2 linked regions of the Tamandua tetradactyla genome follow. The protein of the gene in region 2 interacts with the protein of the main gene of each other region in a pairwise test. Links are inferred from orthologs where the notes say so. Each region holds a gene or a part of one and is shown on either strand. Other genes may lie near its edges.

Region 1 (7,344 bases), on a different chromosome or scaffold from region 2:
CCATAGCATGTGTGTTAGTTAGATTCAGTTGTCAACTTGGCCAGGTGAGCATACCTAGTCTTGTTGCTGAGGACATAAGCCAATGGTGCGTGAACCTCATCTGTTGCCAATTACATCTGCAGTCAGCTAGGAGGCGTGTCTGCTGCAATGAGTGACGTCTGACTTAATTGGCTGGTGCTTAAATGGGAGATTGCAACGTAGCACTGCTAGCAGCTCAGCATTCCTCATCTCAGCACTCGCAGCTCAGCCCAGGCCCTTGGAGATGCAGAAAGAAGTCTCCCCGGGGAAAGTTGTTGGAACCCAGGGGCCTGGAGAGAAGACCAGCAGAGACCATCCTGTGCCTTCCACGTAAGAAAGAACCTCAGTGGAAAGTTAGCTGCCTTTCCTCTGAAGAGCCAACAAAATAAATCCCCTTTTATTAAAAGCCAATCCGTCTCTGGTGTGTTGCATTCCAGCAGCTAGCAAACTAGAACAGCATGCAATAGTAGTTTTCCCCCATACCCCTCTATTATTGATTCTCTGTACAAGATTCATACCTTTGAACGAGTTCATACAAGAACTTATATTTGTAGTGTTAATCCATGGGACACATGAGTCTATACAATCCCTTTCAATCATGTTCACCTTCAATGTAGTAATATTACTTATAAATCCACTAGTGAACTGTTTTCACTTCTATTCATTCCCTTACATTTGAGTTCAACCTCATTAGATATCTCAAGGTTCTGTGTATCTCTAGGTCCCCTATATTCTATATTATAAGTCTCTGATTTTACCTTTACCACGGTCATAAAAGCAAAATCATACAGTAATCTATCCTTTTGTGTCTGACTTATTTCATTGAGCACTATGTCCTCAAGGCTTATCCATGCTGTCATACACTTCAGGACCTCATTTCAGGACCTCATTTCGTCTTACTGCTGCATAGTATTCCATTGTATGTATATACCACATTTTGTTTATCCATTCAACTGCTGATGGGCACTAGGACTGTTTCCATCTTTGGCAACAATCTATTTTGATTACTGTATTTCAATATAATTGGTTTCCTTTGCAGCCTATGTATTTTACTTTACACAATTAAAAATATTATTCTGAGACAGGTTCCTAGGCTTCACCAGATGCTAAAGGGATCCATGCACAGAAAAAGTCAGGATCCCCTGGCACTGGAAAAATCCAGAACAAGGAAAATATTACTGAGCACACATACTGTACTGAAAATCTTACTGTTATGAATGCTCCAATAATCTTTTTGTGGAAAGTCCTTTTTTATTAATGAGGGCCCTGGACCTACTATATCATGACTGATTTGCATAGGTTCTCTCAGAACTCTACCACAGCCCATCTGATCTTTGTCCTCTTCTCTGGCATGATCAAACTTCAACTAGATCCTGGATTTATATCATTATTCACTGTTATATTTTTAGACTTTTTGTGTCACTTTACCGCACAGTAAACACCTAGAAGAAAAGGATCATCTCTTAAAATTCTAGAAAGTCCAAGGTCAAAAGCATCTTGAAAACAACTTCTTTGCTAGAAGGTGGGTTAGAAAATATCAAGTCACCCATACTTTTTTGTATAACAGCCTTTGCAATGACAAACTCAGTACAAAACCAAAATAAAATCATTAACAGTTCTCTGATATATAATGTCATCCTTGACTTTTAAACACTTTTCTCCCAGCTAGCAAATTCCTCTAAGGCAGTACACTGAATGAGGAGGCAAAAGACCTGAGTTCTAGTCCTCCTTCTATCACTAATCTGCAAGATCTTGGAAAGTCAACTTTACCTTTCAATGTCTCAACTAAAATCACTACATGATCTGAAATGATTACATGATCTCTAAGGCCCTTAAAATTCTTTACACATTCACGTCTCTTCACCATTTTTACTGGCTTCAATAACACATTTCTGATGTCAATCTCCCCAGGTGACCCTGCTCTTAAGCAGTGGGCTGTCCCCTTCCTGGGAAGATACCTTGTGTCACCACCCTCCAACCGCCCAGTCCCTCCTTTTAAAGACACACACAAACTCTCTAAGTTTATGGAGGTTCTCTCTCTCCTTGCCAACTATTTCCACTCTCTGCATCCCTTCTGCTCACCAGCTTCTGTATCTAACCTAGCCTCCCTCTTTTCTATTCCTATCCAAGCCCTTCCCTTTTTCTGTTGCTCCCCCTCAACAGGAGTTGGGGGATCCTGGGGACACCAAAGTCCTCAGTCCCTTGGGGGTTATATGGACTTGCAATTCAGCCCCGGGGCTCCGAGGGCTATTCCAATAGGATAACCAATTCTGTCCTCCAAGGGTCCCTGTTTCTGGTCGCTCCTCCTCCAGAGAACTGTCCCAGTCCTGACAGCCTGAACTCGGCCGGCCCTATCAACCTCTGGGTCCTACCTGTTCTGGGGTCCTGTACAACGCCCATGGCCTGACCCTGCCCCAGGTCCGGCGCGCGCACGCAGCCGCGTGGACCTCGACCCAGGTTCCATTTGGACCCTGTGTCCCTTTTCCACAACCCCGGTCACGGCCCCATGGCCGGCTTCGGCCAGTTCTCCAGGCGCGGAGCGCCACCCAATGCAGGCGTCTGCTCGGCCCTGCACTGCACTCCCTCAAGTTCCCGAACCCGCGTCCCGCACCCTCCCCACCCCAGGCAAGGCCCCAGCTCCCTCCAGCGCCCCCGCCCGCAGGCCCCGGGCCCGCTCCCCAACATGGCGACGGGGACACGAGCCCGACGGACGGACGCGCGGGCGGGGCGGCTCCCGGCAGAGCCCGCACTACGGCCGCGCTCCGCGGTCGGTCGCCGCCATTTTCCCGCGCCGGGCCGGAGCAGTACCTCCTCCCAGCTGAGCCAGCCGGCCGGGGCCATAGACGCCCGGCAGGCCCACCCCTTACGGGCCTGCGTCGCCGTCGCCTCACCTGAGCGCAGCTCGCCGGCCCTCCCGGGCGGGCCTCGGAGCGCCAGCCCGGGCCGTGCGTGCCCGCGGCCCTCCGTGCGTGTGTGCGTCCGTGCTCGCCCGCGCCCGTCTATCCGGCGGTCCGCGCCCGGCCGCCAGCAGCCCGACCCGGCTGGGCCTCAGGGAGCCGGAGGGAGGGGGATGGGCCGGACCGGGCCAGGGAGGGAGGGGGAGGGAGGGAGGGAGAGAGAGAGGGGGAGGGAGCGCGGGAGGGGACGGGGTGGGCCAAGGGGCGGGGCCCTGTCCACGTGATCAAACGTCCTTGGGAGCGCTGGGCGGAGCCCGCGCTGGCTCGCGTGGGTGTGGATCTCTTAGACCTGAAATCCCATGGGTTTCTGTCTGCTTACCAGCACCAAAATCTCACCAGGGGCACTTGATCCTACTTTGGAAGCACTGCACAACCCTTTGGGAGTGCTCTGGCTAAATGTCTTAGGGCAAGTTACCTTTCCCAACCTCAGTTTAAGTATCTGAAATATTGAGATAATATTAATGTTTGCGAAGGGGAAATGAGGGAAGGTGTGGAAAGCACTTGGCACAGTGCTTAGCACTTAGTGTCTAATAATATCATCAATGATGATAAGGATAGCCTTTATTATTATTTGCCTGTAAGTCCCTCTCTGCTTTTCCCCATCACCACCATGATAGCAAGTTGAGTAAGTGCTTAATAAATATATCTTTTGACTGAACAAGTGAGTGCAGCTCCCTCCCCTCTCCCCAAATGTCAGGAGGCTTCTGCACAGGGCTTGATGTTTTACAATCCTGGATTCTGATCTTTTACTCTTGACAGTTGTGTTATTTTCTTTGCTTCTCCGAACTTCAATTTCCCCATTTATAAAAAGGGCGTTAAGGGCGGGCCACGGTGGCTTAGCAGGCAGAGTTCTCTCCTGCCAAGTTGGAGACCCTGGTTCGATTCCCGGTGCCTGCCCATGTTTAAAAAAATAATAAAATAAATAAAAAGGAAGGTGAGTCTGTCATAAACATCACAGAAGATAGACGATGAGCAGGTAGATTGTAAGCTGCTTGCACAGCTCAGGAATAATGGTCCCGTCTAAAAAAGGAGTCAGGGCCCCTTTAATTCCATAGATATTTATTGAGCATACACCATATAACTACATCTTCCGTGGCCCAACTCATTCTATTCTTCACCCTGCTGTCAGAGTAATGTTTCTAAGTCAGAAATCTGATCATATCACTCCCCTATTTGATGGCCCCGCATTGTTCTTAAGATAAAAACCCAATAAATATCTTTCTGTTTGCCTCCCTTTCCCTTCTCCAGGTTAAGGCCCTCTTCTCTGTTCTTTGGGCTGCAATGACAGTGGCTTTCTTAAATTCTTCACAGGATACCCTCCTTCCTCAGGACCCTTGCGCATGCGGATCATTCTGCCTAAAATACTCTCTGCCCTTTGGTAATGCATCAATTTTCAGGTTCCAGCTCAAACTCTCTAACCCAAGAATACCCTCCCTGATCACCCCCCAGAAAAGTCTTCTTAGCACCATGTGCTTGTCCTTGATGCAGAATGCACTAGATGGTTTACCACTAGACTGTGGATTCCACAAAGAGGGAGACCTTATCGTCTTGTTCACTGTTGTGTTCTAAGTACATAGCACGGTGCCCGGCACCTGGCACAGAGTAAGTACTCAATAAATGTTTGTTGTGTGTATGAATCCTGGCCACCAGGATAGATGTTGGATCCCAAAAGGACAGAGAAAAGCAAAGAGAACCACGAGGGGACACATACTTCCAGCCTATCAAATTAACTCCAAAGGAACTTTAAAGGAAGCTGGAAAACATTTTTGAAGCTCTTTAACTCTTTAAAATTGAGATATAATGCAAAAATCTTAAGTGTAATACCTAATACATATTTTTAAATCTATGCTCCTGTGTTACCAGGTCAAGTTACAGAGCATCACTATCAACCCAGAAAGTCCTCTTTTGTATCCTCACATGTGTCCTCTCCCTTTACTGGAGGAAATCACTACTCTGACTTATAGCACCAAAGATTAATTTTTACAATTCTTGAGTTTAAGATAGAAGAACTATACAATGTATACACTTTTTGTATTTAGCCTAGAAATCTAACATAACTAAAGAATGACTATTTGGATAATGATACAGTTTATGAATTTCTCGATTAATTCATTAATTTGAAAGATTAAGATGTGACCACGCCATCCTGCTGAGACAGGGGTCCTGCCATCAGCTGGTCCAAAAGCTGACCTCTTAGTCCCATAGAAGCTTCTAAAGGTAAGAAAAGTCTGCAGGATTCCAGAACCTGAGTGACTACCTCATTCTTCATTATCTTATTGGTGTCCTTAACCAAGGGTCATGTGTTTTCCTTAGATCAGGCAGGAAGCAGGGAGCAGAGGAGAGAGGGGCCCACTTGAGCACCTACACATCCTGTTGGTGGAAAGAGAAGGAGCATATGCAGGGTGGCATTGAACTGTAACAGGTCATGAGCTGGCAGACAATGTAACATAATGATGACAAGATTGGGCTCTGAAACCAAAATATCCAAGTTCAGATTCTAGCTGTGCTGTTTATTAGCTATGTGATCTTGGATAAATCCAACCTCCTAATTATATAGATAGGGAAACTGGACCAAAGGGAGATAAATGACTTGTCCAACAGAGTTCAGAATATTCTCCCTTCTTTGTTTTTAATCTAAATATGATTGATGGGGGGGGGGAGGGTGTGTACACACCCCTAGTAAAGTGTAAGCTCCCCAAGGAGACTATTTTTGTAATATTGCCATTTGTAATGTTTTGTACCTCAGTTACCTCATCTACAAGATGCAGATAATAAGGGTAGATAAGGTTTTCAAGAGGATTAAATGAATTAATGCATCTAAAATGCTTAGAGGAGTGCCTAGAACGATGACAGCCTCAATAGACACCAGATTGAACGAGGCCCCTGAAGAAGGTATCTGGCTGTTTTGCAGTGTTTTGAGCAAAAACAAGCAGTCCTGAGATACCCAGTTTCTTATTCTGGATTCAGACGTGGGTAAAGAAAATGCAAATCAATTTTTCTTTGGTATAAGCGGTTTTACTAATTAGCAGTTTTGAACTTCTACTTTCATTTAGGTGTCTGCATGGTCTTGAGCTTTGTAGTGATAAGACTGGTGGTGAATTCTTGAAAGACGTCTTTAAGAAAATAAGAACAGAGAGGAAAAAATCCATAACAAAGCCACCTAAAGAGCACCAACATTCTGTTGTCTACAGGCTTTATCCTAACAGTGCCAAACAACAGGGTTCCCACATTTAGCTGGGCAAGCTACAAGAGGGCGGCACCTTGGCATTGTAGATCTGTACATTTATTGTGCTAATTTACCAGCAGAAGGCAGTATAGTGCCTTGCTAATACGAAATCATTTCATAACAATTTTCAGACAAATGGAAATAAAATGCCCGAGAGGATAGGGTCAGTTTTTTCTACTTCACATAAAAGCTTAATATGGACAACAATGCCTTTCCCTTCAGAAATAAGAAGATTGAAAAATAGAAGAAAACAGAGCAATAACTACACGACTGAAAAAATTGAAAAGTATCAAAAACTAATGAAAAGAGATTCTTAGGACTAAAAAACCTATTTTCAAGAAGATTCTGAAATTCCTGTCCTTTGGAAAAAAAAAAAAACTTTGTCTTAGACTATAGTATAAAGACATAAATGTGAATGAATCATAAGTGTGAAAACCTGATGAATTTTTGGAAAGCGATCATACATGAAGAATCAGTGCTCAAATTAAGAAATAGAACATACCCATACCCATCAAGGGCAAACAATATCCTGACATCTAACTCTGCAGATTAGCTTTGCCAGGTTCTAAACTTTACATAAATGGGATCATACATAAAGTACTCTTTTGAATCTGGCTTCTTTTCCTCAATTTTCTATTTTTGAGATTCATTTATAATGTTGCAGGTAGTTGTATTTTGTTCACTTTCATTGCTGCATAGCATTTCATTATTCCATGTACCACAATTTATCCATTGCACTCATGACAGGCATTTAGGTTTACACTTTAGGGCTATTTTTAATACTACTACCGGAATATTCTTGTACATGTTTTTGGATGAACCTATGTACAATTTTCTGCTGGGGTATGCAGAATGCAATATATCAGAAACAGAACGGCTTTTAAAAAGGGGAATTTATTAAGAAGCAAGTTTACTGTCTAAGGCGTGAAAATGTCCAACTTAAGGCAAGGCTATGAAAATGTCCAAATTAAGGCACCAACAAGAGGTTACCTTCACTCAAGAAAGACCAATGAAATTCAGGGTGTTTCTCTCAGCTGGAAGGGCACATGGTGAAGTCAACTAGCTTTCTCTCCTGGTATCTTGTTTCATAAAGCTCTCCGGGAGGGTGTTTTTCTTCTTTATATCCAAAGGTCTCTGCCTGCT
Region 2 (7,484 bases):
GCCTGCACCCGACACACTCCACACTTGTCCCTCCTCCAAGCAATATCACACTTGTGCCCACCACCCAAAACTCACTTTCCCCAGACTCTGGCGAGGCAGGCAGGGGGGCTTTGGATTTGCTCACTGCTCTATCCCCAGCACCTAGGACAGGGCCTGACATAAAGCAGGCACTCAGCATCTACTTGTTTGATCCTGACATCAACCCTTCTGAAAAGCCTTCTCAGCACACTCTCTCTAAATGGGTCCCTTCAGTCCATTCAACTACTCCCCACCTTAGCCCTCTCCCCTTTCTCTCCTTGGGGCCACACAGCCTGACTTTCTTGTTTCTGTGTTTGACGTAATCTTCTCCCAAGAGGGCAAGGAGAGGGGGTTCCTGCGTGCTGCTGTTCCCAGCACCTGTCCTGGGTTTATTTGGAGCTCCTGGAAGCCGAAAGGGAGAGCCCACAAGGCTGGGCACTCAGCCCTTACCTCAATGGTGGACGCCTTCAGCAGGGCGATCTGGTCCTCACGGCCCAGCTGCATAAAACCGGGCACCTGCTTAGCAAAGTCAACGATCTCCTGGACCGAGATGATGGCCAGCTCCGTGAAGTGGGCGAAACGCTGCTGGCGGGCATCGCGGGACTGGGGGTCTGCACCCAGGGGCCAGGGCTGGGGACATGGGGACTATGGTCACTCCCAGTACTCTTCCCTTGAGCCCAACACTGGAGGGCATCTTGAGGCAGAGCCTGCACCTGGGGGTACTCTCCTCTCAAAGCCCCTGGACTCTCAAGCCTCCCTCCCTCCCCAAGCCCTGGGCTGAAGCTAGCCAGATGCTACTTGCTCCTTGAGGCGGTGGAAGGGGCAGTACCGTGACTTTGGGCTGATCTGAGAAGGAACGCTTGTTGCACTGCAGCTGGGCTGCCACCAACTGCTGGATCATCAGTTCCTGAGCCGCCGTCAACTGGACCCCTTCGCCTTCCCCACAGCCCTGGCTGCTGGCCTCTGACCCTCCAGGAGAGGCCCCAGACCCAGGGGCTGAGCTGCTGCTGCTGCTGCTGCTGCTGCTGCCCCCTGGCCCCACGGGCGACTGTTGCTGCTGCTGCTGCTGTTGCAGCTGCTGCTTCCGAATCTTTTTTTTCCGGATCTGTTCTTCAGAGAGGACGCCTGTGGGGAGATGCAGGCCTCAGCAGAGGTCCCAAGCTGGGTGGGGACCAGACTGGCTCTGCTCCCTCAATCCCAGCACTCACACTGCTCCCTCATTCCTGCCTCCTTGCATTTGCGCAGCCGGCACTGCTGGCACTTGCGCCTCATGAAGGCATCCATCTGGCAGGTGCCACCGCCCCGACAGGCATAGCGCCCAGCCCCACCGCGGACCACACTGCGCCGGAAGAAGCCCTTGCAGCCTTCGCAGCTGAGCACGTTGTAGTGGAAGCCAGAGGCCTTGTCCCCGCACACCCGGCACAGTTCATGGCCCAGCATCTTCGGAGCCGGACCCTTCTTCCGCTTGCGCTCTGGCTCTTCCACTGGGTATGGGGTGACTGTGGTGGGTGGACAGAGATCGTGAGGAGAGCCTCAGAGAGAGCACCCAGAGAGGTCGGCCCCAAGGAATTCCAACAAAGAACCAACAGACAGGAAGAGAGATGCATATACCCAGGGAGGCAGGGATTCAGAGGAAAAAAGAGGTGTGGGTGAACCCCAAAGAATGAGTCAAAGTAAGAGATGTCAAGGAGGAACAGAAGGGAAAAAATCCCGTCTCACCCTTCCAGTCTCTGCACTTTCTCCCGAAATCCCTCCCAGACTCCCCAGGTGAACTTCCTGACCCCTGGGTCCTGTCTCACCCACACTGCAGGCTGAGCCTGCCCCATCAGTGCCTGGGACATCAGGGTCCGGACCCCCAGTCCACGGCTCTGGACCTTCTTCCTTTATGGCAGGGGAAGAAGAGGGGACACCGGGCTGAGGGGGTGCATTTCCTGGGAGAAGGGAGGAAACAGAAGGAGACTGAGTGAGCATCTTCTGATTGTGTGTAATAGAGGCTGGGTGGGAAAGGAGGTCACTCACCAGGCAGGGGGTTGTCCAAGGAACTGGTGCTAGGAGTGGACATGGTGGGGTCACGGAGCAGCCTACAGAACAGACAGGGTTAAAGAAAGGGCTTGTGGGACCACAAGGGGTCAGGTGGTACAAGTTACCAGCCCGACTGGGACCCAATACCTTCCTCCAACTCCATCCAACTTCATTCAAACTCCACCCCAGCCCCAGGCCAGAACCCTACCAGCATACAAATCCTCCCCTCCTAGTCTAGCAAGCCACGCCTCTTCCCCTGCTCCAGGACAGCTTCCAGCCACCCGGTCCCTATCCCGCCCACCTGCCGGTTCCAGGTCCCACCCCTTAATGATGCCCCGCCCTCATTTCCTCCCTTCCCTCACACCCCACCTACTCCCACTCAGAGACTCCACCTCCCACAAGCTACCCCCTCTCATCCTGACCCCACCTCTTTCCATCAGGCTCCGCCCATCATGCACAGCCCATAACCTGGCCCCAAGCTCACGCCATCAGTACCCCTCCCAAGCCCCGCCCCATTACTCGCTCCAGATCCCGCCCCAGCCCGCCCATCATGCCCTTGGCCCCACCTCCTTCCATCATGCTCCGCCCCTCACCTCGCTCCAGGTTCCGCCCCTCTCCGAGCGCCAGTAGGGGGCGGGGCTCATGGCTGCTCACGGGGGTCTCGTAGGCGGCCTCTTGTGGGGGTCTCCGGCTCCCGTTGCTTTGGAAACAGCCGGGGCGATGCGAGCTACGGAGGGGAGAGAGTGGAAGAAAGGCTGAGCGGAGCAGCGCAGGGGACGCCGGGAAACGCCGGGCCCGGGACTCCTCCGGCGCCCCTCTGCCCTCGGGTGCACCTGCCTTCGTTCCCGTTTCTCTGCTTCTCTTCCTCCGCTCTGTCCCCTTGCGCGCTACCACTGCTTAGGTCCCCTCCAAAACTAACTTCGCCACTTCTTCCGGCAACCCCGCCGTGCGTCACTTCTAGTCAAGGGCGGGGAGTGAAAGGTGACGGACTTCCGGTCCGCCCAGAGCGGGCCGAATCGGTTGCCCCGAACGGAAGTCGTTTCCTCACCGGAAGTTTACCCTGGCCGGGTAGTTCCCCTGGGGTCCGGCGGGAGAGTTCCGGGCCCTTTCGTGTAGCTATCCAAGCGCCTGGCTCGGTTTTAGCGCTCCTTGGTGTAGCTGCATTTCGCAAATGGCTGGTTAACCCGTTTTTGTCCTTTTTTGGGTTAACAAGTTTTCGGATTTTAGAGATGTGCTGCTTGTTGGTTTTAAATAAAACTACAATTCTGCATCCAGAAGATGTTTTGTTTTGTTTTGAATGATTTAGGGATTGGAATATTTTTTTAAAACTTCCCCTTACAAAAAAAAAAAAAGTAAGAAAGCTCTTGAGGAAATTCTAACAGGTAGAAGATGGAAATTGTTCTACAGCCTCCCCCTTCCATATATGCACATTTGTAAAATTAAGTGTAAGAATATAAGATCTATACTCTTTTTGTAGCTTGTTTTGTCCACTCAATAGGATAATACAAAGATCCTTCTGTGTTTAGCAAATGCTACTCCCCAGTCTGAATTTATAGGCCGTGAATGTTTCACCCAAAGAGGTTACCGATAAAGAGAAGTGGTTATCGTGGGCTTCGGGGTCAGAAGGAATGGGTGCCCCTGCCACTTCCTTGCTGTGAAACTTTGAAGTAACTTAACCAACCTCCCTGCGCCTCGGTTTTCTCATCTGTAAATTGGAAACGAGGAAAGAATCGACCTATTGCGTTGTCATTATGATTTACTGAGAGGTAAAAAATATGAATTGGATGAGCTCGAGGGAGAAGCCCTGTATGTTGGCGCTATTGTTTAGTCCTGTGGGTATTAAGGTATTAGAACAATGCAAAAGACTGTTGACGAATTACTGAAGTGTGAGGGCCAGTTACGTCATAGTTGGCCCTCCTCTAGAACAGATATGATTATTCATATTTCTTAGGAAGGATGAAAGGATTCAGGGAGCATAGTGTCTGACGTATAGAAGCATCCAATCAGCCATCCTAATTGCAGATGAGTGTTCTCACTTGTAACTGACCCACTGTCCACGAAGTTTTTTTTAATGCAACTGTGTTGAGAGATATATTCACGTACATAGACTCATCCAAAGTGTACAATCGGTGGTTCACAGTATCATTATATAGCTGTGCATTCATCATCACAATCGATGATGATTGAAACATTTTCATTACTCCAAAAACAATAGAAATAAAAGTAAAAAAGAACACCCAAAACATCCCATGTCCTTCCCTTAGTATTTATTTATTTTTGACTTTATTTTCTTGCTCATCTGTCCGTACACTGAATAAAGAAAGTGTCTGTCACAAGGTTTTCACAATCACAGGGTCACACCGTAAAAGGTATAAAGTCATACAATCATCTTCAAGAATCAATGCTACTGGATTACAGTTCAACAGTTTCAGGTATTTCCCTCTAGCTACTCCAATACACCAAAAACTGAAAAGGGATGTCTATATACTGCATAAGAATAACTTCTAGAATGACCTCTCAACTCTTTGAAATCTCTCAGCCACTGAAAATTTATTTTGCTTCGTTTCTCTTTTCCCATTTAGTCAAGAAGGCGTTATAAATGCCGTAATGCCAGGTCCCAGCTCATGCCCAGGAGTCCTGTCCCACGTTACTGGGGAGATTTACACCCCTGGGAGTCATGTCCCATTTAGGGATATCCCTCAACTTTCTTTTTTTGTAGGCAAAAGTAATAAAGTTTATTAAAAGAGAAGTTTATTAAAAAGAGAGGGTACACGTTAGAGAAGTTAACCCGTGCGTGCCCAAGGGGGGACACCCACTGAATGGAGTGGGCCAGCTTGTTTTATAGGAAAGTTTTATCGGTGGTGGGTTTCCATAGTAACCTTTAAATAGTAGATGTCTTCTTTATTCTAGGAGGACATAGCTAGCAGAATTCATGGTTTCTTATCACGAACCTAAAATTGTCTTTGGGCAAATGGTTAACAATCTTTATGTCCTTAGGTTTCCTATTATTAAGTAAGAGTTTGCTTTGGGCCCAGAATTTTACAAGATTTTATAGTTTGGGGAGGATTCAATGTTTTGGGGATGTTTGGGTTTTAGTGACATTTTTGTCCCGGGAGATTTGCAGCTGAAGTCTGCAGCTCTGAGTTAGATCCTCGGAGCTAGATAAGAAACAAGGGACTTAGAGTTGCCTGTTAACTCTTTCAGAGCTGAATAGGAAACCAGGGACTTACAGTTGTACTATTTTATCCTGCTTCAATCTGCTCCCTGAAAGAATTCAATCTCTTTAATCTTAAAGGGGTTGAGGGATAACTGTTTGATGTTTTCAGAGTTGAGAGAGTACATGTGGGAATGCGCATAATTGCTAACAATGATGGAAGGGCTGGGGGATGTTGGAAAATACAAAAAAATCATTATAATTCACCCCATCCCACCACTCTTACAATCTTTGCACCACTTCTTCCACATAAGTCCCTGAGTGTGGGAAAGGGAGGTTACAGGTTTACAGCTTGCAATGCTGAGAAATGAGGGGGAAAAAAAAGCATTTGGGGGAAGGCAAGTACATTTAGAGCTGCTTTGCCTCCCTGTTCATTTATTTTGTCACATAATTATGCCCCAGTCACACTTGAACGTGGACATCTGTCCCATAAGCTGGTATACAGTTGAATCGGGAGTTCTTTAGTAATTTATCCAGATTGAGCTGTTCCAAACAGATGGGCAGGTCCTGTTTAGATGTACTCTTGCTTCTTTTAGAAGTCTTTTTTTGTTGAAGATGATTTTCTCATTTGTAGTTGACTGCAAACAGAATGCAGGTCTCCAGGACCAGTGTCTTACGTAGAAAATGCTGCTCTCCTGGGATCTTTTGGGATCACTCCTGCCAGGCTCACCTGAATATGTAACCAGTGCCCTGCCAGCAATGCTGCCAGCTGAGCTCCGATCAGGTTCAACAGTCTTGAAACTAAAAGAATTTAGAGATGAGAGGGACAGTAGGCATAAATAGTAAAGTTTACTGAAAGAAGTTGATAAAAAAAAAGAGAGAGTATGTGTTAGAAAGGTTACCGTGGGTAAGCCCAAGGGAGGGACACCCCTCAACTTTTAAAAATAGTTTTGTGGAGATGTAGTTCGCATACCATGCAATTCACCCATTTAAAGTGTGTGATGCAACGGTGTTTAGTGTCTTCACAGATTTGGACAACCATCAATGTGGGCAATCATCACGATCAATTTTAGAACATTTTTATCACCCCCGAAAGAAATCCCACACTTATTAGCAGCCAATTCCCATTCTCCTTCCCCCCTCCAGCCCCCACCCCAAACTTCTGGCAACCACTAATTCACTTTCTGTCTCAAATAGACACATACAACATGGCGCTTTTTGTTACTAGTTTCTCGCACTTAGCATGTTTTTTTTCTTTTTTTATTAATTTTTAATTTTTTTAAAAATATAACAACAAACAAATGCAAACATTCTTAATTTATGATCATTCCATTCTACATATATAATCAGTAACTCACAGTATCATCACATAGTTGCACATTCATCATCCTGATCATTTCTTAGAACATTTGCGTCAAATCAGAAAAAGAAATAAGACAACAGAAAAAAATTCATAAATGCTATACCCCTTACTCCTCACTTTCATTGATCACTAGCATTTCAATCTAAGTCAACCTAAGTCAGACACAAGGTTTTCACAATCACACAGTCACACTGTGAAAGCTATAGCATTATACAATCATCTTCAAGAAACATGGCTACTGGAACACAGCTCCACATTTTCAGGCAGTTCCCTCCAGCCTCTCCATTACATCTTGACTAACAAGGTGATATCTATTTAATGCATAAGAATAACCTCCAGGATAACCTCTCGACTCTGTTTGGAATCTCTCAGCCATTGACACTTTGTCTCATTTTGCTCTTTCCCCTTTTGGTTGAGAAGGTTTTCTCAATCCCTTGATGCTGAGTCTCAGCTCATTCTAGGATTTCTGTCCCATGTTGCCAGGAAGGTCCACACCCCAGAAGTCACGTCCCACGTAGACAGGGGGAGGGTGGTGAGTTTGCTTGTTGTGTTGGCTGGAGAGAGGCCACATCTAAGTAACAAAAGAGGTTCTCTTGGGGGTGACTCTTAGGCCTAATTTTAAGTAGGCTTGACCTATCCTTTGTGGGGTTAAGTTTCATATGAACAAACCCCAAGATTGGGGGCTCAGCCTATTGCTTTGGTTGTCCACACTGCTTGTGAGAATATCAAGAATTCAACTTGGGGAAGTTGAATTTTCCCCCTTTCTCACCATTCCCCAAAGGGAACTTGGCAAATACTTTTTTATTCACTGTTCAAATCACTCTGGGATTTATCGGGGTATCACTCTGGACAAACCAACAAAAGCTCATGCCCTACTTCAGCTTCCATGTACTTAACAATGTTCAATTAAGCTGACTACATAAGTTA

Evidence for each region. The genes of interacting proteins can lie anywhere in the genome.
Region 1: the proteins of NR1H2 (region 2) and NCOA6 interact in a two-hybrid assay, tested with the Homo sapiens proteins (2 studies listed by BioGRID). The link is inferred for Tamandua tetradactyla from reciprocal best matches to the Homo sapiens genes NR1H2 and NCOA6.

Annotation. Positions count from the first base shown.
Region 1 is NC_135327.1:17,839,413-17,846,756, reverse strand, and holds the start of NCOA6 (nuclear receptor coactivator 6), read right to left. Parts: upstream 3,099-7,344; 5' UTR 2,910-3,098; intron 2,005-2,909; exon of another isoform or gene 1-2,004. UniProt on the Homo sapiens protein: Nuclear receptor coactivator that directly binds nuclear receptors and stimulates the transcriptional activities in a hormone-dependent fashion. Coactivates expression in an agonist- and AF2-dependent manner.
Region 2 is NC_135342.1:10,832,501-10,839,984, forward strand, and holds the start of NR1H2 (oxysterols receptor LXR-beta), read right to left. Parts: upstream 3,061-7,484; 5' UTR 2,960-3,060; intron 2,768-2,959; 5' UTR 2,634-2,767; intron 2,100-2,633; 5' UTR 2,081-2,099; coding exon 2,038-2,080; intron 1,950-2,037; coding exon 1,818-1,949; intron 1,518-1,817; coding exon 1,227-1,517; intron 1,144-1,226; coding exon 848-1,143; intron 649-847; coding exon 469-648; intron 1-468. UniProt on the Homo sapiens protein: Nuclear receptor that exhibits a ligand-dependent transcriptional activation activity. Binds preferentially to double-stranded oligonucleotide direct repeats having the consensus half-site sequence 5'-AGGTCA-3' and 4-nt spacing (DR-4).